Drosophila melanogaster: one gene and its partners. The gene in region 2 interacts genetically with the main gene of each other region. Each region holds a gene or a part of one and is shown on either strand. Other genes may lie near its edges.

Region 1 (7,180 bases), on a different chromosome or scaffold from region 2:
AGCATCTCGATCATGGGATGATTCAGTTCTCTTGGGACTAGCATCTTATGAATTTTGGTTTTCTGAAGTTAGATGCCAGCAGACGACGACGCAGACGAGTGGACGCCGTTGACTGGACTGTTTCAATCGAGGCTGGATCTTTGGGTTCAAGATGTCAGCAAAACGTTTTGGTTTAATGGAGCGTTTTAAATTTTGGTCTTTATGGGGGCAGCGGCGGAGTGTTTAATAATCAATTGGATATGTCAAAAAAATCAGATGATTGCATTAGAATTTCGTTGTTTGCTTTCAATCGAAGCTGTTATTGTAACACACACCCGCTGACGCACACACACACACGCACACACACGAACGCACACGAAAGGATACTCGCGACCGGATACATATATTTTTAGACATATATATATATATATTTATATATATTTGTATATATTTTATTTCATTTATTGTATATAAATAGTATTTGACGGCACTCGAACTGCAACTGAACCTCAGCCCCTCAGCGGATTGAGAGGCATGGGCGGTTGACTTGGGGGCGGCAAACGCGCGCGCACTTTGCACCCATTTATATATATATATCTATATTCTATACCGTATATATATATGCAATATATATATTTTATATATAATAATGCGGCCTCACTCCACGCCACTCCACTCGACGGCGTGTGTGTGTGCTAGTTGCTGGTTGCTGGATTTTTTAGAAAATAAGCAAGTCCGAAACTGAACCGAACCGTCGACGACTTGGACCAACTCTGCGGCTCCTCGCTGGAGCGGCAGCTATCGTTACGCGGCGTTGGCGTTACTTCTTTTGCTCGGTGCGGTGCGTCGAGCCGAGAATATAAAAAAGCAATGTTCTACTCAAAAGACGTCCAAAAGCCGTATGCCAACTGCGGTGCCCGGCCGATGCCTTCCGATGCCGATAGATGCGATGCGATGCGTTGCGTTGCGTTGCGTTCAGTTCGTTCGGCGTTCCGTCATCGCGACACGGACACGGACTTTAGCAAACGACGACGCGTACATGGCCTCCACCAGGCCGGGGAACACACCACGCGCCCCAACCCTTCGCACCCCATCATCGACGGCCGCCAAAAAAAGCTACAGACGCGCAAAATGCAGCGAGCCATCCGAAAAAACCCCCCCTCCGTATGTAAAAGCATCTCTGTTTAAGTTTTTTTCCTTTGGCCAAAGTTCGCGCGCGCAAAAAGCACACACACACACACATGACACATGGGCATGGGGTATCTATGTACTTTGACCACTCGATGTGCGAATGAAGCGCGGTCCAAAAAGGGGGCGGTGGAATGGGTGATGTAGGCGGTCGGACCAGGTTGCCCATCAAGAAATAGAAAAAAATTGGCTCCAACTCTACGCAATGTCTACGCGCCCACACTTCGATCCATCCAGCCAGCCCATCACAGCCCAACCCCCATCAGTGCCGCCGACCCTTTTTCGAGCCGACCAACCACGCACGGCGTTGCTGGCAAGGAAATGCAGCTGCACCACCGCCTCCTGCTCCCTTTTTTCCCGGCCCCAGATCATTACGAGATGCCTCATCATCGCCATCGCCATCATCATCAGCATCAGCATCCTGGCAACGCACAAATCACGCAGGCAGCTGGGTGGCTGGGTGGCTGGGCGGCTGGGCGGCTGAAGGGCAGTTGCTTGCTGCACGTGCTGGGGCTCCAGGAACAGCTGCTGCTACTGCTGTGGATACTGCAACCCCCTCCCACGGCTGGCCATGTAAATTTCCGAGGCCTGGTCAAGTAAATAAAATGCAGCCAAGGGGGCTGGGGTGGGATGTGCGCCGGCGAGGGGGCAAAGGACTTCTAAAAATAAGCCGAAAAGAGACAACACAACCAAAAAAGAAGCAACCGCCTCAGTCTAGCTGCTTGCGGATGCGTTTGTGTGCGTAAGTGTGTGTGTGAGAGTCCTGGAGTGCAATTGCCTTGCAGCATTGCATCCTTTCGGCTGCACTCGCCACTCTCGTTGCGCAGCCCTCGCTCTCTCTTTCTCACCCACTCTCGCTCGCTCTCTCTCCCTCACTCTGTCTTTCTCTCTGGCTCTTTGGAGTTTTCCTTTTTTCCCATCTAAACTGTGGCAAGTTGGCGTCGACAGCGATGCCGACGCCGACTTCGCTGCCATCTGCTATTTACTAGTGCAGCCGTTGGTAAATGAAGCAGCCACCCAGCAACACCCCATCGCCAATACCACACCCCCCCCCCCCCCAAAAGCGACCAAAATCCTGCCCAGCCACCCACTGCCCCTTTGGCTGCTGCTATCTTCTAGTTGGCAATTGCATTGCCTGCAATGCACTTCTCCTGTTGTGGAAGCGGGGAAAGCCAGCGCGGTGCATTGCGCATGTCCTTGTTTACATTATGTGCATGCCTCCAAAACTTCGCGTCTTGCACTCGTGTTTGTTGCTGTGTGCGTTTGTGTGCCTGTATGTGTGTGAGGATGTAGAAAAGCAAAAAGTCTACAACTACAACTAAACCTGCTGCTGCTGGGGAGAGCCGCGTGCACACCAGCAACACGATGCTGTTGCATGTTGCTGCTGCAGCTGAACGCCGTCACCCGACGACAGGACACGAAGAACTTTGGGAGGAAGTGCCGAGCTCAATCGCGGAGAAAGACTTCTGCGATCTTCAGACCCACTGAACTAAGGAACTCCAAAGGAGACATTTCCTCTTAAATATTTACTTGTAGCAATTAATATGGTTATTATTTTGGCGCTTTGAAATAAACATGCTGTTTAGCTAAGTTACTAAAATTTGACTGCCCTGCTTTCTTTCGTTGGTGAAATAGATTTTGTGCCTTAAAAAGAGTATATCTTTGAATTGATTTTAACTTAGATGATAACATTATAATTAAAGAATGAACCTTTTCCTAATTTTTCTAATGAAAATCAATACTGCTCAATGTTTCACACTCATATTATCCATTTACTATTTGTCTTAAATGTCGTTCTCTTCTCGTTCTCTTCCAAAAATGATCAGTAGTTAAATGCTCACTGTTAATCATTTTCTTATGATCAAGCATCCCATAATAGATACTTTTCTTAATCAGAACATCTTTAAATTACCTAGATCTTAAAATATACGCTTCGAATGTATTTATTTCCCTTATTTCTCTATCTAAATTCTATAATTCTGAAAAGATAAATAAACCCCAATGAGTCAATGATTGATGAAAAGAATGGAGTAATGGTTGAAAAATGAATTTTTGATAGTGATCTTTACTTACCCTCAAATAAAAGTACATCGAAAAAATATCACATCACAACAATTTTTGATATTCCGTTTGCATTTAATGTTCTCTCTAAACTTTGATTAATTTTCTCACTAAGTTCCGTTTTTTTATGCTTCTTTTTTAATTTTTTTTTTTTTTGTAAATTTATTTTTATTTTTTTGATAAATTATTATAAGAAAATTTTGCACTTGTAAAATTTAGCGTGTAATTTTTGTTGCATTCATAGACTTTTTGGTTGTTTAAAAATTTTCAGGTAATTTCGTAGTTTTCGATTTCGAGTGTTGACTTCTGCTCTTCTTCGCCTTTTTTTTTTTTTGTTCTCTGGGGATCCTTTCCAAAATATTTGCTTGCCGAAATGCACAATACAAAAGGTGAATTAACTAAGGATCTACGTCTGAATTTGTAGAAACTGAGAGTGTGTCGGGACGATGACGAACCTTTGGCCGAGACTTGAAGACGGAACGGGCCAGACGATATCGAAATCAAATTCAGACGCTTGAATTTTTGCTCAAATCGGAATCGGTGCGGTACTGAAACTGGAGTTACTCAATCGTTTTACTTTATTATTTTGGTTTTTCGTTGGTTTCTGCTGCTGACGTTACGGACTGACTGGTATTGCCTGCTTATTTGGTTGCTTCTTGGCTTTGACTTGCTTTGTTGTGGCTAGTTGTAGTTGTTGTTTACGAACGAAATGTTGCGTTTGACTGGCGCTGATTATCAAGTGATTAATATTATCGATATTGGTAAAAATGTAACTTTGTCTATTTTGTTATTTGTTGTTGGCTGGCTGGTTTTGTTAGTTAGTTTTGGGAAATGAAGAAAAAACTGCTCTACATTCTAGTGCCGGCGCTTACATTGTCTTTGGCGCAAGCCGGCCGTGTGTGTTTTTGGGTTTTTGGCGGGTAATTTTTTGCACTCAAGACGGCATGGCGAGCGATGGCTGTTCGAGCCCCAGCCCGAGTCTTAGTTCGAAGGGCTGGCGGGCCAACGGGGCGTATGAGCGCCTGGGCCGCATTGCGTATACGTAGTGTGTTCCAGGCTGGGTGGTGTAGGTGGTACGTACATAGGTGTCTAGTCTTGCACTTCAAGTCATTTTGCACACACTTTCACTTTCACATTCACTTGGCACTTTTTTTCGTTCTCCTATCGTTTCTCTGCTTCGATGTCTCTCTTTTCTATTTCTATTTGTTTGTTTGTTTTTCTTTTGTTTTTCGGTATTTTTCTGTTGTAGAGTTTTTTCTTGGGGTGGCTAACTGCTTCTGCTACTGCCTCTGGGTTTGATTTATGCAGATGCGAAGAAGTCTGCGAGAAGTGGCGACCTGCCTGCCGACTGCCTGCCTGCCTGCCTTGCACTGCCTACTGATGTGCCTTGCCTGCTGTCTGCTGCCTGCTGCTGCCTGATCCTGGCAGCACGGCTCAGTTCGATTCAGGACAGGCCAGGACAGGGAGACAGCGAGAACCCGAGGAGCAGAAAAAAGCGCCGCAACTTGTTTCGCGTTTAGCAGTTTTCTGTTGCAATGTCCTGGCAAAAATTGCTAACGATGACGGGCCCCAGAGTCACAGAGCCAAAGCCAAAGCCAGAGCCGCTGTCGATGTCGATGGCGTCGTCGCTGCAGCGCGTTGATTATGAGGGACGCCAGCCCCTCGGCCGCTGATGCTAACGCTGATGGAGTAGGATGATGCGGATGTGGATACTTGGATACGTGGATACGGATGAAAGTGGCCGCTGGCCGGGCGCGAAACGCGCAAAAAAATTCCGCGGCTACGTCGCAGCTGCAGCGCCAACCGAATTGTCCTCGTCCTTTTTGGTTTGGCTTTGGCGCAAAAAATTGCTGCGACTGCGACGTCAGCGCCGCTCCTAGCTGCTAGTGTACATATACATGCAAACCTCGCACACAACCACAAACACACACACACACCCACTAGAACAGTGGGCGCACATATGCATTGCTGGACAAATCCAAAAACACAGAGAGAAACAGACAGCAACGCGCGCTCAGTCGCGAAAAATCAAAACAAAGCGCGACGACAGCGGCAGCGGCGTCCTCGCCAATACATGCACACTGCGAGAAGGACACGGACAATGCACATATCGCACACACACACGCTGGCATGCTGCCCCACACTCTTCACACTTTCAATCAAGAGCAAAACGCATTTTGCTGCGCCTAAAAATCAAACAACGCCAAAAAGTATGGAACACCCAAACCCCCAAACGACTGATGAGGTGGTTTTTGGACTGGGCAACTGCGTGGTGGTCTGTTTCGCTGACTGGGTGGCGAAAAACTGCAGCTATCGAGCCTAAGTGTACCTAAAACCCAGCCCCTTTTCCCGCCAGATGGACCATACCATTTCGCAGATACAGATACATCTGCAGGGAGGTAGTGTGGCAGCTGTGGGAGCTGTTGCTCCTGGCTGTGCACTGTTCATGTGCCCCATCCGTCCATGCATCCATACATCCCATCCGCACACCCACCAGCCGACAGGACCCGCCATGTGGCCATGTTTTGTTTTGATTTCGTGCTTCTCACACACATCCATATGCGGGGAAAATGCAATTTTTTCGTTTTCATTTGCAATGCCAAAGCAACAAAATGAAAATCGCAAAAAAAGAAGAGGGAAACCTGAAAGCAAAAAATAAAGCAAAACCCTAAGCGAAACGTAAAAGTTTTCTATGTTGCCCCTGCGCGAATGCAACACACATTTTTTTCCTATTTTATTTTGCCGCCATTTATGGGTGTTGGTTATTGGCACTGGTATTGGTATATCGTCAGAGTTGGCATTAAAATATCCAGCAAAGAAAACTGCAGCTGAAAAAAATGTAGAGCGTCGTCCGCACTCATACCCCGCCAAAAAGGATCCGCGACAACAAGAGCAACAATAATAGAGCCAGCATAAATTCCTACTAACTCATGCACATGGGGGTTCTGGGAAAGCGCATCAAAAAAGCGGAGAAAAATTGGTGGGCGAGTGCAGCGACAGCCACTGCAATTCTCTATGTACGTGCTCAGAGATATATGTGTCCATATATATGTACATATATATATGTATATATATATTATATATATGTATATCAGTGATATATAGACGAGGAGGCACAGATCGGAACTAGGCAGCGCCTGCATTTAATCCTACGCATCGCGCTCGTTACTCATACGCCGCGTATTCCCGGAAATGGATAGAACGCGGGCACAGGTCTGGGATGGCGCAGTTTAGGCCGGATAGGAACAGCAGCACCCACAATCTCCACCCAGTACATGAAGTTTATGGCTTTATCGATGGCATTGGCTATTGACTTTGCCACTGTGCCCGTTCTGCTTTTGCTTCGGGCTCGATATGGTTTTGGTTTGGTTTGCTATGGTTCGGTATGGTTTGGTTGGCCTTCGCAGGATATCAGAGAGAAATTGGGAATGCTGCTCATAAAGAGATTGCCAGATAGCTTATGGATTCATAAGTTGTTATGCACAAATACAAAGGTGGTGGCGTGCAGTAGGCCCACTGCCACCAGCTGCGGTTTCCAACTCCCTGCCCAACGAGCCATCAGTCCTGTCCATCCTGTCATCATTAATTAATGAGCTCGCGGACCGCAGCAGGCAGCTGATGACTATGCGCAGAAATCATATTAAAAGTCGAATAGACCTGGAATTCCTAGGGCATTTCGATTTCAACCGATTTAAATAACTGATCTACATATGCAAGTTACATCAAATTATATGCATTCCCTTAAGGCATTGCTCGCTTGGCTTGCTACTTAAAATTACGCTTTTAATGCAGCAAAGAACATATCCATATAACCAGATATATATATGATCTGAAAAAGTATTTCGCTCAGCATGGGTTTTAATTAAGCATATATACTTTTTTGAGGTTCATATGAGCATATCGAATGCATCAACATTGGTTTATTTAAACATACAATATTCACATCCCATTT
Region 2 (10,148 bases):
ACCGAATTGCGAATAGAAAGATAATGGAGAGAAATGTATCGATAGCATCCGCTACCGATAGTCGATGAGCACAAGTCACTATTGTCTGCCGAACAGAGATTGTAAAATGTTCCCAATTATATAATTTAGCTATCACTTTTGTAATTAAAGGAGAGCTTGTCCTTGTCTCCTGTTACGATAATGCTATAAACAAAGCACCGACGATTAATTCGTGCGGCTTCCAATACTAATACTTCCACTATTCACCACAGCCGCGTACGTTGCGCGAGTGTTCGTGGATAGCCCACACTAAACACTCACACGAACATCTACATTACTGCGGAACTTCTTAAAATCAAGAAAAGTATCTCTGCCTTGACATACCACCCCCTTTTTCGACTGAAAACGCATACGCACCAACTAATTGAATCAAATGCACACGGCTAGGAGCGGAAATTTTAAAAACTTCTGCTTGGAAATGTCTAAAATCACAGAGCAAAATAAAACTTGACCGAGAATACACTTGCTGTTGAAAAAACTGCAAACTCACCAACATAAACGTTGCCGATAGAGATGGGCGCAGCGCATGAGCTAGAGCGGGATGCCGATGTTGTGTAGTCCCGTGGTGAAAACTCGGGAAATGCTGCCACGTCTCTTCTCCGCCACCTCGGCTAGAGTTGCCAACGATTTGGATTAATCGATTCATCATTGTCGCACAATGCTCACTCGATAAAGTTCACTATCCAGGTGATTTGAACTAAGTTAAATGTTAATATGTTTTACCCAAAAACACCATTTTTGGTGAACCCGTTGCTGGAAGCCGATATCCTTAAAGTGAATGTATGTACTTTCAATGTGCACAAATACGTATTTACAACAAAAACTGGCTTGCAAATTTTATTAACTGTTAATTCCTGGTTTTGTCAAGTCTGCTGCACTTGCTCCGCTGTTGGAATGGCTGTGCCTTACTCCCAAAGTCACCACTTACAGGGTGAACACTCTTAGGTGTTCCGTTGACGACTTTCGGAAAAAGTTAGAAGAAAAACTCGCCATTCGCTACGGTGTAAAATCTCCAAGGATTTACTGCTTGCCAAACCTACCCGAGATGTTGTGCATTGATCCGCTGGACTCACAGCTCACCAAAGCTGTGGCCGACTCCGAGCTCAAGGAGGTAGTGGTTGACACTAACTGCGGAGCTGCACTACTGCGAGGCGCCCACATATACGCCCCCGGTGTTTTAGCTATGGAGTCAAACACTGAGCGGGAGGAACTCGTCAATGTCTACGCAGATCTGGATGGAAAATGCAAGCGCGGGACGGTCAAGCGGTACGAAAGCCCAAATAAGGTTTTCCTGGGTACAGGCAAGGTGTTAATGCAGCGGTATCAGCTGTTCAACAACGCGGAGAAGCCCGCCTCTGGAGTGGCCGTGGAAATGCAGTCCAACGTCAGCGGAGTGCCCACGCTGGGGGATCTAAGCAGCGAAGACGGCCTGTTGCAAAACCTGCCTTCTATTGTTTGCGTCCGTGTCCTGGATCCGCAGCCCGGCGAGCGCATACTGGACATGTGTGCCGCTCCGGGTAACAAAACAAGCCACATAGCCGAGTTGATGGGCGATCGGGGATCTGTGGTGGCCCTAGACAATTCGGCCAGTCGCGTCCGCAGCATGCTGCCCAAATTGGGACACTACAAAAGCATAACGGCGCATGTTTTTAACTCCACCGAGGCAGTGGCAGCGGACGCTCCATCTGCACCCGTGGGAGAATTCACTGGGCCTCCGTTTCCATGTGAAAGCTTTGACCGAATCTTGCTCGATGCACCCTGCAGTGGGCTGGGCAACCGGCCACAGTTGTCCTGCAGCATTAAACAGGTTAAGGTCTTGTCCTCATATCCCCATATTCAGCGCCGGCTATTTGAACAGGCAGTGCAGCTCGTTCGTCCTGGCGGCATCCTTGTATATAGCACGTGCACCGTCACCGAGGATGAGTGCGAATGTCTTGTGGCCTGGGCACTAAGAAAATTTGTCGAGCTGCGGCTAACAGATGCCACTCCCCGGTGGGGCGGTCCCGGACTTCCGCTTCCCGGTTTCGAGGCATGTAAATCTCGTCTGTTGCAGCGCTTCGGTCCAAGCGGAGCAAATGCGGACACTGTGGGCTTTTTTATTGCGAAGTTTCAGAAAATATAAATAAATTCAACTTCACTGAAATTTTTTGTTTATTGGGCTCGATAATTTAAACATTCGTTTTGATTTGCAAAAGTAAGCCGGCTTATGAGTGATATAAGTGAGACCTACGCTAGTGGTATTTGATCAAGAAAATTTCAACCCTACGCTTAGAAAAGCATTTGAAAAATGCAGTCTGATAACATTTAGGCTTTGCTCTCCCATAGCTGCTTGTGCTATCTTAATGGAGATACATAATGTTATCTTTTTGTTTTCGAGTTAAAAAGAACTTAAATAATTTACAATTCATAACTAATGTAATTTTACTTAAATCTAAGTCCGTCATTGTTATTTAACGATTCTTGTTAAAAGCAAAATTATGCATTTCGGGAACTTTAAAACTTTCTACGACAAAGATTTACTTAATGATTTTACGAGTTGTAAGTTAAAAGGAAGTCAAAAATATTACCAATCATTGATGGGACCCCGATAAATGCATGTTTTGTTTGTGCTTGAGGAAATTACTAAATATGATGAGAACATCGATGAAGGCTTTTAACGCTGGCGGAATCTCTCACCTTGACTGCAGTGATAATTATCGTAAAACTGCTTGACTCCCACGATAAAATAATGTTTTAAATAAGGTATTCGCATAATTTATTTCATCGTTCGATGCCTTTTGTTTCCCCGGCGCAGCATTATTGTTTCGCTAGACGTTTAGCGTTCTGGTTCCCGGTATGCTTTCGCCAGAATAATATTCACTACTCGCCAAACACGGCTCTCAGTCAGTGCTGGTGCATACTTATGGCCAAGAGAATGGATTGGCTAGGACCAAACAAAAGTGGAAATGGGAAGAACCCACCAACGTCAGGTTCTTTCAATATAATAGTCTTAAGAACTAAGCCTAATTATATGTACGGATACTATTAACATGATTTTACGTTGGGATGTTGAGCGTCTTAAACTGATCTTCGTGCATCTCAGTCATCATGAAGGTTCCATCCTGAAGCAACAAAACAACGCGACGTGTACCTCCTGAAAAAAAACAGAAAATGAACAAGTAGTTAGTTTTTGAAGAATAATCCCCTAAATATTGCTATAATTTTCTATGCAATTCCGATTTATAAAAAAGCTACCCAATGTATAGTTCTGCAAGAAGAAAAGCAAGAAAATGCTATCGACTATCATCTGATAGTATCTACCCCTCGAGAAACAAACGCACTTGCGCTGCGAATATATATCCCTGCTTAATCATTCAGTTCTCTACGTTCATACAGACAGACAACGCTAGATCTGCTCGCTTATTGATCCTGATTATAAATAGAAAATATATACTTTATATCTTCAAAAAGCTTCCTTCTACCTGTTATGAACTTTTATTATTACTCTACGAGTAACGGATATAAAAGCCAACACAAGAAGCTGGCCTTGTCAAATTTTTATGAAAAACACGACTTACCCGGTGAAGGCAAATCTGCCTGTACCACCTCCGCTGGTATCTGGGATTCCGTGCCATCGCTGTCTGACGTCGTGATATGGATCTGAGCTGTGGGTGGCGTTCCCGTTCCAGCGGCAGAAGCCTCCGCTTGTTGAAGCACCTGGTGTTGCGCCAACTCCTCTTCTGTCATGGACACGAGAATCTGTTCACCGTCCGCCGTAGCTGCTCCGACGCCGTGAGACTCGACCTGTTCACCGGCTTGAACGGCTTCGGCCACTGCGTGGTCCAGAGAAAGAACATCCTGGTCTTCTCCCTCTGCGGCTGCCACGTACGCAAATTGCTGTTCTCCATCCGGGCCCTGCGTAACGAGAATAGTTTGTCCCTCCGCATTTTTTCCCGCTACCTGGTAAACAGTGCCGTCCTCTCCTCGCACCAGCAAGGCCGAGCCGTCCTCGTTGGTAAGAACTTGTTGATCGCTGCCCAGAAGGGCCTGTGCCGCGGCTTCTAGCTGCTCTCGTTGTTGCTCCTGCTGTTGCTCCTGCTCCATTTGCAGTTGGGTCTCCTCCTGACCAATAAGCTTGCCGGTGATTGGACACAACTGAGCTTGGTGCTGATGAATCTCCTCCTCCAATTCCATTTGCAGGGGCGTTGGCTGGATTGTTGACTTGGAAACTATTCTTTGCCGGGCAGGAGTCGCTTTCTGTTGTTGACTGGACTGCTGCTGAGACAGAGCCTGTCGCTGGCGTGCCTGGGCAGAGCGCTGAGCCAACAACTCTTCCCGGGTCACTACTTTACGCGTAACTTTCAAGTCCCCTGACTTTGACAGCTGTAAAATCTTTTGCTCTGGCGTAACTGCCTTGGCACCCTGAGGAGTTTGTACTTGTTGGCGATGTTGCGGAGTTCCGACACCGGCTCGTGCAAGGACTCGACCACCCGGGTGAGCCCGGCCGGGCGCCTGCTGCAAGTTTTGACGCACATGGGATGCACCACCCACTCCAGGACGGCGATGAAGTGCTGCTGTTACAGGGCCGTGGCCGGGAGTTCGAAGCGCGTGTTGTCGCTGGCCCACAGTGATGGGCGAGTTAGCGCCCGAATGCGCAGGACGAGCCATTGGCAAACGCTTGGCTATGCCTGCGGCGGGCGGCGCAGCGATCACTTTTTGCGGAACGGGTGCAGGCGAAACGGGTGCCGGTGCCTCGGAATTTTCAACCCGAAAAACGCCTCTTGTGCTGCTGCCCACCTCGGAGCGCGAAAGATACCGCACGGGACACTCTGGTTTCTCCTTTTTCTGCAACGAATTAAGATCATTGTTATTAATTGGCTGCTGCGTAGAAATAGCATTATTTCGTAATACCAAATTTATTGTGTTTGGCATCTCGGGCTTGCGAAACATGCCGGAGCTCGTGCTATCCTCAGTATAGATGATTTCACCCATTTTTTGTTCCGTTAGGGGCGATACCACGGTGGAATTGCCGTTAATTTTAGTCTGCTGCTTTTCCGTGGACTGAATCCGTGGCTTGTTCAACTGCACGGAGCTTCCTCCGTTTTTTAGACGCTTCACGGTATGGGACGGAAGATCCTCTTCAAGGTCCTCTAGGTCCATCGAGTCGTTTAACCCGCTCCCCTCTAAACTTGAGTCTGTATTGTTCAGCTTTCGCTTGATCGCTCCAGAAGATGGTGGCCATTCCTGTTCCGTGGAGGATTCATCTTCGTTTGCCGAGGAAGGCGAGGAGGATCCATCTCCGGCAACGGTTTCATTGACCCACTGCTTAAAGGCATCCATAGCCTTGGTCTTGGAAGTTCGAGATGGCCGAGAAGACGGCGATACCTGCGACGACGCCGGAAGTGGGCTGTGTGGGGCGGCAGTATCTGACTTTGCGTTTGTCCCTGATGACTGCATGCGCTTCAGAGCATCCAGACCCTTCTCCCTAGTAAGTTTTTGGCGTGCCAATTGCTTTTCGAACATCTGCAAAAAGTATGGCACACGCTCGAGATTGGCCATCACCTCCCAGGTGTTTTCATGATGCGAGCGATCAACCCACTTAACCAAATACTCGTGGGTCTTACGGCGCGGATTGAAGCGCTTAGCGACAATCTTTTCCACTGGCTCTTCGGTGCGCTGATCTGTCTTGGAATCGATCCTAATGGCTATGCGGTTGTTCGGCTTCACGGCTCCGGCAGAGGGAACTGAGGAAGGCGTTGGTGTACTCGGCTTGGACTTGGGTCTTTCGTTTTCTGTATCCTTTAGTTGATTGGCTAACGTAGGCAGCTTACCGGTTGGTGATTCTGTTGATTTAAATATAGTTTAATAACAAGTGTGACTTTTATTTAGAATGTTTTGTATTACTTCTGGTAGGGGAGACGCTCGTGTTGTTGTTGTTGCTATTTGATGTGTTGTTATTGTTTGGATTGACCACAGTCTTTGTTATTCGCACAGGCATGTCCTGGAGTTGTCCGTGTGCAATTTTGCCGAATGACTGTATGGTCTTCCCAGCCACAATCCACGGCTCGCGGACGCTATCGTCTAGTTTTACCCAATGCTGGTACAAGGCCCACGAGCTGCCGGACGCGTCCTTGCGCGAGTGCAGCTGAGTAGCTTTCCATAGCGTAAAAGCCCAGATGGTGGGCTTGGGATCGAGCGATTCCTTCAAATTTGCATTTTCCTTTTCGCAGGCGTCCTCTTTGTGGGCCTGAAACTCTTCCACGAAGTTGTAGGCCCGGAGACATCGTCCACATACAAGAACGTCCATGTTTGCCAATTCCTCCTGTGCAGCTGCAGGGCAGAACACAAAATTAACAATAAAAATTATTTACCAATGTTTTTAGTCACTCACCTCTTATAATGTTTGCGTGTTTGCCGATTTCCGTAGGTGAAATCTCCTGTGCCAACATTATTCACGACTCCAGCGCCCAAGCCTTTGAAGAGAGCATTTAAAGTGTGACTTAAAAATAGTGCTGAATGGAGTCTTATTATTTGTTATTGCTTGGTTTTGAAATATTGGTAAACGGCGAAGAAAAAGTACAGTGCCGTGGTGTGTTTGTGCTAACTTGAACCAGGTGGCAACGCGAACGGTCGCTGTCTGCGGTGTGTGTCCGATATGGTGAGTTCAAGCATATGTACATCTGCAATGGGCAAAATGCAGCGGCGCTTAGGCAGCCGAAAAAAAACACTAAGTACATTATGAAAAGAACGAGCCTGCCGCACTGTTGTAGATATATAATATAATAAAACACAGAAAAGCACGAACTATGCGTAATGCGACTTTATTAGTTACTTAAACTTATCTGTTACAAATGCATTTGAACTTCAACACAGCTAAAAATTAAAATAAATAAAACCCTATGGTTCGATCCTATTTGTTTTCATTTAAAAAAAAGGATTACATATAGTTTAAATAATATCAAAGTTCACAATTTCATTTTGCCCGCTAAACCTTGCAGGCACTAGATATAGGCCAGGTATGATTGCAAATAAGCCTATTCCACATATCATTAAATTAAAAGATTTCTCTAGAACACTTTGGTACACACCTTCATAAACAATTTTGGATAAATATCAAACTGAATGTTGTTTCAAACGGTTATTTTAATTTAACTGACTCCCGATTTTTCAACACGAGCAGCTCCACTGCTGCTCACAGTTGTACGCGCGAACTCTGAATGCCAAAAGCGAAATTCGGCTGCACGGAAATTGTCCAGAGATGATTTGGTTCCGGCTGTGCGGACCTTAGAATGCTCTTCTGTGCTAAGCTATTTAAATCCTAATATTACTGGGAGTGTATTGCCTGTCGATAGCTTTAAACTAACTGCAGTCCAGTAAATTTTAAGATTTCGAAGGTTTTTTCGAATATAGTATATGATATAAAACGCGGGTTTCAATGCTTGCACGGTTTTAAGTGCCCAAACTTAGGGTGTAGCGCCCTTTTCAGTTCGCCCGTGTGGCGGTGCACTTAGTTAGCCAATTACGCGTCGTGGTGGGTATATTTATTGATGTGGCAACTTTGGGCGCAATAATAATAATATTGTACTTTTTTTGTTCATATTAGGTAAGAAATTCGAAATTATTTTTTATTATTTCATTTTATTATGTCATTCTTTTGTAGATATTTATTGATATAAATACTTACCCAGGGTTGCCACCCAGTGTATTGTATTTAACGTAGGCCCTGTGTGTACACACTGTTACATTAGCCGGCGCATTTTATTTAGCGTTAATTGCTTTTCTTTCTTGATTTGACTTGGTAGTGCATCAGGACTGCAAGTATGGCCGACGATGAGCAAGAGGACCAGAAGGAGTACCGCTGGGAAACGGGCTATGAAAAGACATGGTGCGATGGTGTGCGTGACAATGTAAGCCCGCACTTACTTTTAATCCTATTAGGGAGGCCATCAAGGACGACGAGGATGGGATGCTGGATGGAGCCATTGCAGAGATCATTCAGAAGGCCAAACGCCAGAGGCAGGCTCAAAAGTCCAAGCAGAACCGCCTGGGCATGATGCGCCACATGTTCGTTGTGCTCGATTGCTCTGAGTCCATGAGCGTGCCTGATTTGAAACCCACACGACTGCGGTGCACCGTCAAGCTGCTGGAGCTGTTTATCGAGGAGTTCTTCGATCAGAACCCCATCAGCCAATTAGGACTCATAGCGCTAAAAGCTAAGCGAGCGGAGAAGGTGACCGAACTTACCGGCACTTCGCGCGTGCACCTCAAAGCGCTAGAGAGGTAAGAACCGAATCAAACCAGCGTTCTCCATTTATATCCCCTTTTTGTTTAGCTTGGCTAACGTGTCCTTGACCAGCGAGCCTTCGCTGCAAAATGGCCTAGATCTGGCCCTAAAATCGCTTAAGGTGGTGCCGTCGCACGCCTCCCGAGAGATCGTCATTATCATGGGCTCGCTCACCACATGTGATCCTGTCGATATTAACCTCACCATCGACGAGTTAAAAAAGGAGGGCATACGCTGCTCGGTTATTTCCCTGTCCGCTGAGATTCACGTGGCCCGCTACCTCACTCAGCAAACAATGGGCACCTTCGGGGCTGTTTTGGATGATGCACATTTTCGGGATCAACTCATGTCTCAGGTAGATCCACCGCCCGCCGCTAAGACTCAGCACAACTCGCTTATTCGCATGGGCTTCCCGCACACAAAGAATGAAGTTGAGGGCAAGGACGCGCCATTGTCCATGTGCATGTGCCACATAGAGAACTTGGAGGAGCCCAGTGAACTGACCACTACTGGCCACCACTGCCCGCAATGCAACAGCAAGTACTGCGAGCTGCCCGTGGAGTGCCAGTCTTGCGGCCTCACCCTGGTCTCCGCGCCGCACTTGGCGCGTTCCTACCACCACCTTTTCCCGGTGCCAAATTTTGAGGAACTGCCGTTTGAGGCGATGCCTGCTTCGTCATCCGACCTCACCAGCGATGTCAGGGAATGTTACGGCTGCGCCAAAGCTCTTGGGCAAGGCGTTGACAAGGTCGCCGATAAAGTCGTCTTCAGATGCGGTTTCTGCAAGCAGTTCTTCTGCGTTGACTGCGACATCTTCATTCACGACACATTGCACGCCTGCGTGGGATGCAACACCATTCCCGGCGTAGACGGTCTGGTTTACCAGCAAAGTTCCAAGTCTGACCAGGTTGATGCACACCCAGGGCCCTCAAAGCAGCGCGGCCAGTGTGGGATGTAACTGACTTTCTATAGATAGATATTTCGAACTTCCACATAACTACGCATTTGGGGCAAACAAAATACAGTTCGTTTCGAAACGGTGGTTATGAGTTGTATCAATTAAAATCTGGTTTTATGCTTAATAATTGTGAAGGCGAGCGTAGCATTATTATGGCCGTTGTGTGAGACCCTCTCAATTGTATTGCTAATTACTTGGTCATAGGCTCTCTGTGCCGCTTCATGCGAACTTGGCGCACTTTTGTCTAGAGCTCGCTTGAGTTCATCATCAGCGTTTGCCGCATTCGGTCGGGTTTAGTTGCGATTCAATCCAAAAGCTCTCGGCACCCACAGGTGTTCTCGTTGGAACTTTAGCTTTATAGATGTTAACCCGCGTTGGTGTTGTGAATTTTGAAGAGCCAGAACTTTTGTTCAGTGGGAGACCGATGTGACGTGGATATACTGCTCTGTGACACCATAAACAATTTATGAAGATCAATGACGCTGCTTTAAACTAGTATTAAACCAGTTAGAGGCCAGCTAAACCGCCACAACTGTCTATTACCTTATAAAGTTCAACATTTAATTGAAGATTCATAAGCATTCCGAAGGTCTACCATAAAAATCAAAAATGTATGTACATATATTGTGTTATTGTTATTAATAATTGGTTGTTTTTAAAGTTTCTAAATTTTTTTAAAAAGATAACTATTAGACTTATGCTTTTTGATTTTAGAGTTACAATACAAATTCTTTATGCGGTTTCTAAAAGATGCGAGCAAATGGCATCAATAATAGATAATAAAACATAAATAAAAGCTTTTAATTTGTATATATAAATTGGTCTAAATGTAGCTTGTAAATAATAGGTTCAAATGGTATGTAACTTGCGGCAAAATGCAATAGGATA
Region 3 (7,092 bases), about 12 Mb from region 2:
TTGATCAGCAAAATTTCACAAGCAAAGTCAACAAAATTTCAATAGAAGCGTTGTAAAAAGCAATGCAAAGCCAAAAATAACGGAAAAATCGAGTTCGTTCTAAGAAAAAGAACAAAACAAAGTAGGAAAACAAAATGTGTAAAGAGTTTCTTGACAGTCTCAAAAGTGTGTAAACTTGGAATTTGTTGTTTATTTTCTTGTATATTTAATATTTTTAATTTGTTTTTTGATTTATAAGTAAAATAAATATTGTTTAATTATATTTTATAAAAAAATTGCGTTTAATTAAGCAAAAAACCCTTTATTTTTAGCTTTAAAGTCAAAAATTCAACTTATTTCACAGTGTGTAAACAGTTTCTTGACAAACTGTATATGTAATTTGCGAAAAACAAGCAGCCAAACGCACGGAATGACGCGTGCCGAAATTCTTTAAGGGTGCATCGAACCCAGGACTTTTTCGAGTGGGTGGCAACTTTTCGCCGGAATTATTGATTCAACAAGAAAAACTGGAAAGATGTTGCAAAGTGGTGGCGACCTGTCGCGGAAAAACCCTTGTATATTGCTACTTTTTGTATTTTTTCGGATATCAAATGGAAATTGAATATTTTAGTCATTATTTAAAGCAAGTGCGAATTTTCTTTTGTATTTTTAAGACGACCTGTTTGAAAGCGTGTGACGACGACGTCGAGCAAATAAATTGGCCTTGATATGCATTATATACTCTGGCCAGGTTCTTAAACTGAATAACAGACCAAAAAAAAAATGACTAGGCAAAGTTTAATGAACGCAGACCGAAAGAATATGAATAATAATATGAAAACCGCAACAAGTTGAGAACGTTCTGATAGCAACAATTTCGATTTTCTATTTTTACTTCTCATTGTCAAGTGTAAATTGTCGCATAAGAAATGTTTACCCCACTTAAAAGTAATGTTTATAATGTGCTAGCGGTACTGTACTGTACGAGGATATCGATTTTACTGATTAAAAAGTGAAAGGGGTGAAAACTACACAGATAAAAATGAAATGTAACAATACATTTGAATGCAGTTTTAATTAATTCGTTATAAGACAACAATTGGACATAATATTTTAAAAGATTTTGCTAACTTTACTTGAGAACCAATCTGTATTTTTCTCTGTGCATTGTGTAATTATTATTGTTAATTTACAAAAGGGTGGGGTTAATGATACAACTCACCCCTCCCCTCCCCCACCATTCTAGCAGCACCCGTTGCCGTGACGATGTTCTTGTGATAATTAACAGCAAACAACAAACACAGCTCACCTATCAATTTGAAGGCAATTATCCAGGAGGCTAACTCGTTGCCCTATCTTTATGTACATACCTACATACATACATATGTATCTATGCTTGGCAAGTTGCATTGCCAAGTTCAAGTAAATAAATTGCCTAGAAACAACAACCAACCGTTTATGCAAACAAGCATGTTTGTGAGTACAGCAAACGCTCGCAAACAGCGTTGCACGCACATTTGTACAAACAACTGACATGGTCACGACTGCACGGCGATGACGAAAAGTGGCACAGTGGTTCCATATGATATTATGAAAGATATAAGCCAGATATAAGAACTATTTAAGAAATAATACTACATCTTAATTATCGAGATAGATAGAAACTTTGATGAATTGAATTTTAATCGAAACTAGAGAAGGTTTAGTTTTTATCTAGATTTATTTTATTCGATTTATAAACAGCTGTTGTGAAAACCTCTTGACAAAAACGTTTACTTCAAAAAGGTGTTACTTTCCACACCAAAATCCAGACCAATGTCCTCAGTAAATAATATTTATTTAAAAATGCAACCGAAAAGTGTCAAATTTAACAAATAACAAGCAGCAACAATAGGTTTTCGACCCACGGTTATCAAATTAGACATTTGGGTGGTGGATATTCTGTCTGCTTTGTGTATATGTATGTAGAGTGTGGTGAGAGGTGAGTACGGCGAGGTTGGGCGATTTCAGGGGAGGTCAGTAGTTTTGGATTTGGCCCAAAGAGCGAACAAAGCCGGGTTGAGTTTTCTGGGTAATCGTGTCAAGGTTAAATGCATGTGCTCCACTTTAACAAAGAACGATAGAGACGGCACTTCATCTGGCATTGACCAGCCACCCTCTGCCGACATTTCAATAAAACCTTGAGACATCCACCCGGTTAAAGTTATCAATTATTCCACCACACTACCATGTTTGATAAGCTCTGTGGCAGCTGCCTTAAAATGGCATGAAATATTCACAGGGAAGAAGTTGCGGTTTAATTTGATATGGACGGAATTATTAAACTATCATATTTAACATAAGTACATCCTGACCTGCAACTTGTAACAAATTTTCTTATCTAGCTTGTGCTTGCAGTTGGCCCGGTCTTCTTTATCACTATCATTGAGTGGAATGACTCACCGTAGTATTTCAGATCGGTGACCGCCTCCAGGTCCCGTTGATGGGCCTCATTGTCCAGATCAAGGGGTGTACTATTGCTGGTGGGCATGGCGTAGGAGGGCGTGGTCGACGAGGAGGCCTTCGAGGCTGCTGCTGCCGCTGCTGCAGCCGCCGCCGCCGCCGCTGCAGCTGCATTGTTGGACTTGGCCTTGGACAAGCTGGAGCTGGATTCATCGATCTCTATCCCGTTCGGCTCATCCTCCTCCATGTCCTGGTCGTAGTACTCCCGCTCGGGATCGCGTCCGTCCTCGCTCTCCGCATCCGATATGCAAACAATATCCGCCACATTTGTGGTGGGCGGGGATGGAGGTGTGGGCGGTGATATGGTCTCGCGGTAAGTGTAATCCCTTGCAGATGCTGAAGTGGTCTTGCTGCTGCTATTGGTGTACTGACCGTTGGTGGCACTGATGCTGTTGTTGTTATTGTTATTATTATTGTAGTTCAAGGTCTTTCCAGAACCAGAGCCGGATCCCTCCGTATTCAGTTTGGACTTTTTCCCATTGGTCATCGTTTCGGAATTGCTATTCTTTCGCGTTTTGCCATTGCCATTGGCTACCAGCTGGCCATTTAGATGATTCCGCACCATTTGATCTGGCTCCTCGTAGGCTAGTGACTCCGATTCACGGGGATGTTGATGATTCTTGAGGCGCGACGTACTTGTACCGCTTAAGATCTCGTAGTTTTGCTTTTGCAAGCGACTCATGGCTAGATTCTTCCGTAAAAGATCCTATGCCTTTAATAATGCTCTACGTGCTCCTCACGTAATCGATGGATATTCCAGGAATTAACAAATAAAAATAAAAAGGTCCAGGGACTGATCGTGGCGCATCGTTGAGCTGGAAAAACAGAAATCAAAGTAAAGACATTTTTTCGAAAATCGCTAACAATTTGTAGACAATCATTAAACTTTTTGACACATTCTTATATGAGTACTGACATAAAGTTGTCATTTTGGCTAGCTAGACTGTTTTATTGTTGTAGTATTTTTAATTAGAAACTGAATTAGTTTTTTCTATTCATGGATGTTCAACAATGCATAGACAACATGTACGATATAAATGTTCCAGTTCACACATTTTAAATACTAAATAAATAATAACTGAATTGTTGAAATTTATTCCGCAAGATGTTTTGAACATAGCTGTTTCTTATTGTGTTCTATTTAGGCAATCTTCACCGTACCTTCCCAATGCCCATTGCCCATTTCTATCCCATTTCTTCATCCACAATATGGTACAGTTTCAACGCAGGCGGGAGTAATTTTCCCGCTGTTAGCGGACAATTGGATGGGGAAACTCATTTCTGAATAGAACACTATTTGGGAGTTCGACTCACCTCGCGAAAGATTATAAGCGCAATATTATAATGCAGACGAAGAAATCCGAATCGGAGTGTGTGTGTGTGTGAGTGGGTGGATCTGGATGGGGAGGGGGAAGAGTGTTGGATTATGCGTGGGGCGGTAGCGATGTGCAACACTGAACGTTCCAATGATAATGTGCACCGATTTATGCAGCACTGGCGTTGGCTTAAATATTATTCAACCAATTCGGTTGCGGTTTCTTTTCATTCTTCTTTTTTGCTTGTTATATTATGCCGTGATTATCACAATCTTTATCAGTCGCGCATTTTTCACTTCCACAGTTAGTTTTTTATTTTTTTTTTTCGATTTCTTATTCTTTACCGTTCTCTTTGCCCACAACTACGTACACATATGCACACTCACACGCTGGCACTTTCTGTATCGGCTGCGTTTTTAAAGCGTTTTTGTTTTCGTCCGCTGATTCCGCTCCGGCGACTGTTGCTCTCGATTTTCAATGGATTTTCCAATTTCCCTGCGTACGCTTGTACTTGTTTTTCAATAGACAATACAGTAACGTTTTGATATTGAGATTGAATGTTTTGTATAATTTGTTTTGTGTTACACGAGAAGGTTTTTACCGCCGCTTTCTACTCGTTTACGCACACACACATTGAAACGCAGGACGCTCTCCGCCATCTGCTTTGCTCTCATTCGTGAACACTTATTAGGTACGGACCACCTTGATGGGAATCGCGTCGATTTCCGTTACACTCGATCAAATCGGGTTTATATCTGTATTATAGTACAATATAATACAATTAAAATCGAGAGAGCCCTAAAACGATTAATGCCGGATAATTGGCTATTTGTAATTTCAACACACAGCACACGAACCGCACGTAGAAATTTTCCCTTTGCTTTTGTGTCACTTACCGTAGCTATCGTTATCGATAGTGTTGACAAGAGGCCAAAAAGCGTGGTGCTGGAAAGCAGCCGTATATCGGTTGGCAGGGATGGTGGAGACTATCGTTTCAAATATTTAAGAATATTATATTTTGATTAACAATTATAATGAAGAATAAATTTAAGGAAAATGTGAAAATTTCGTTTATCAATAGAAAAAATATAAGAATTACCATAAATTTTAGTTTGGTTTTATTGAACTATTTCGTAAGCTGCACGGACGTAAATAAACCTTAAAAAGTAACCATAATATTTGACAAATTCTTTCTCGCCAAGTCGGGAACTGTGCATCCATCTTTCGGATAACCAACGGGCAGTAGGATGAGTAATTTTTCATTGACGGGTCGCCCGAGCAGGTTTCTCAAGGCTGGACCGCAGTTCAAAGGAGTGGTGACCAGCGATGCGAGTCCTGCCGCTTGAAGGGCACACAAAAGGATACCGGCCGCAATCGAAGTGGATATCTCGTTGTAGTAATGCCTCCTCATTCGCTTTCCATTCTCCGACAATCCATAGGTCTGCTTGAAGATCAGTATAAGGTACGGCGCCTCGGTGAGATACTCCTTGACATGATTGGTTTGCAGGGGTCGCAGATCGGTGACCCACTGCGGATGCATCCTCTGGCTGTAGTTGACCAGCTCCTCCTGTTCCACAATTTCCCGAATGGATCGCTTGAGTTCCGGCTCCTGTACGACGCAGTACGTCCAGGGTTCTGTGTGTGCGCCACTGGGAGCTGTTCCCGCCGCCCGAATGCAGTCCTCTATCACGCTGAGATCCGGTTTGGGATGGCTATTAAAGGAGCGAATGCTACGGCGTCCACGCATGAGTTCATATAAGCGTTTGGCTCCATTAGGGTTGAGATTCTGGCCGGGAACGAAGGGCACATGGGGCTTATCCTCCAGAGCCGGTTGCAGTTCATCGCCAAGATCGGCAAAGTGTTCAACTGGAAAATAGAATAGAATAGCTTTATGTTCACCGTGGATAATCTTAAAACTTACCCTCCTCCTCGACTTGTTCATCTAAATTATATGTTTTTAATACGCGATTCCCTTTAAAAAACAATCTTTTTACGATCCATATCAGCGCCAGAGTGATAAATAAACTTGGCCAATGCTTGAGTAGCTTGGAGCTGCTGATCAGTTCGTCCACATCCATGGTGCTTCAAGATGTAACTGCTTTTGCGACGGAGAGAAAGTGGCTTTGCTTTTGCGCTCGGATTGGCTTATCACTTGGTTAAGTGGGTCACGGCTATTGCTGATAGCGATGGATGCTGGTGGATGGGTTTTGGTTTCCACTTCAGTTGTTGTTCCGGCAGCAGTAGGTGCAATGGCTGCCCTTGTGATGCTCGCACATCCTCTGTTGTCCCTTTTCGTGGGCACTCCTATCCGACATGCATTTTGGATTCTTAAGCATCTGATTGGGCTCACCCGGTTTTCGTTTTTGCGGCGGAATCGGTCGGCGTGTATTGTTGAGTGGAATGGCCTTCTGGTGAACCAATTGGCGCTTGTGCACCTCTCTCAGAATCTCGATGATCCGCCACTTGGCATCGAAGAATATAAAATCGGGAGCAGTGGTTAGCTCGGTACGTATCATATCGCAAAGCATCTGCACTTGCTGGCTATTCGCGGATTCCTGACCGGATGGTTCCTTCTCCATCAAGTGAGCCGGTTCTTTGCTGGATTCAGAAATATCTGAATTTTGCGGACTGGATACGGAATTTCGCGTAGATTGTGGTGGTGTTTCCCGACACGGGGGTTCACACTTTGAATTTTCGGCTATCCAGGGGCAGGAAACTGGGCTTTGTGAGGATTCCACTTCCGGCTTGCAGGGACAGGTCAAATTGGTGGATACTAAATCCTTCTCATGGCTGGACATCTTGCAATTGGAATGATGATGACTGGTTTTATCCTTACTGTTTTGTATGTTCTTCTGCTCCGATGGAGAGAGTGCGTCTTTCTGTTCCTGATCCTCCAACCCGCTGATTTTCTCTTCTACCGAAACTTCATGATCAGCGACTTTTTCTGCCTCCTGAATTTCCTGCTCTATGGGATTTTCTTGCTTCGCATTTTCTTGATCAGGAATTGGTTTGATCTTCTTGTTTGGCCGGTCTTGGGGGTCTTTTTTGGGCCTCTTGGTTAGTAGATTGCCGGGAAAACCGGCCAGAGGAAAATCCGTGAAATTGGTCAACTTTTGGCACAACATCTCTGGGTTGGCTATCGGATTTTGCAAAAGTTTTCCGGCGGCGAGTGGGCTAGTTCCACTGGCAGGAAGATCCTTGTCGAAGTGTATATTAAGATGTGGCACCAGGAAAAGAAATTCATTATAGTAGCGAATTGAAGGACTCATTATCTCTCCACACTTCCTTCGAGCAC

Evidence for each region. Genes that interact genetically often act in the same process or in processes that back each other up.
Region 1: of Chro (region 2) and pros, changing one suppresses a phenotype caused by changing the other (phenotypic suppression), as found in Drosophila melanogaster (one study listed by BioGRID).
Region 3: of Chro (region 2) and JIL-1, changing one enhances a phenotype caused by changing the other (phenotypic enhancement), as found in Drosophila melanogaster (one study listed by BioGRID).

What each region holds. Positions count from the first base shown.
Region 1 is NT_033777.3:11,326,017-11,333,196, reverse strand, and holds the start of pros (prospero), read right to left. Parts: upstream 4,718-7,180; 5' UTR 3,241-4,717; intron 320-3,240; exon of another isoform or gene 1-319. UniProt on the Drosophila melanogaster protein: Homeodomain protein that controls neuronal identity. As a transcriptional factor, regulates the expression of ftz, eve and en in a subset of neuroblast progeny and modulates the transcriptional activity of other homeodomain proteins such as Dfd.
Region 2 is NT_037436.4:22,871,528-22,881,675, forward strand, and holds Chro (chromator), read right to left. Parts: upstream 7,458-10,148; 5' UTR 7,107-7,457; intron 6,699-7,106; exon of another isoform or gene 6,492-6,698; 5' UTR 6,468-6,491; coding exon 6,410-6,467; intron 6,349-6,409; coding exon 5,923-6,348; intron 5,862-5,922; coding exon 4,930-5,861; intron 4,864-4,929; coding exon 3,597-4,863; intron 3,173-3,596; coding exon 3,075-3,172; 3' UTR 2,175-3,074; downstream 1-2,174. Other genes in the region: CG11109 (uncharacterized protein), read left to right, coding at 754-819, 908-2,161; Ssl1 (suppressor of stem-loop mutation), read left to right, coding at 7,839-7,903, 7,957-8,298, 8,351-9,260.
Region 3 is NT_037436.4:11,088,477-11,095,568, forward strand, and holds the start of JIL-1 (JIL-1 kinase), read right to left. Parts: upstream 4,718-7,092; 5' UTR 3,796-4,717; intron 3,381-3,795; exon of another isoform or gene 3,297-3,380; 5' UTR 3,164-3,296; coding exon 2,422-3,163; intron 1-2,421. Other genes in the region: Iyd (iodotyrosine deiodinase), read right to left, coding at 4,957-5,663, 5,719-5,875; CG46439 (uncharacterized protein), read right to left, coding at 6,017-7,092. UniProt on the Drosophila melanogaster protein: Phosphorylates 'Ser-10' of histone H3. May regulate gene expression by establishing or maintaining the structure of more open chromatin regions. Also required for normal polytene chromosome structure, for oogenesis and for viability throughout development.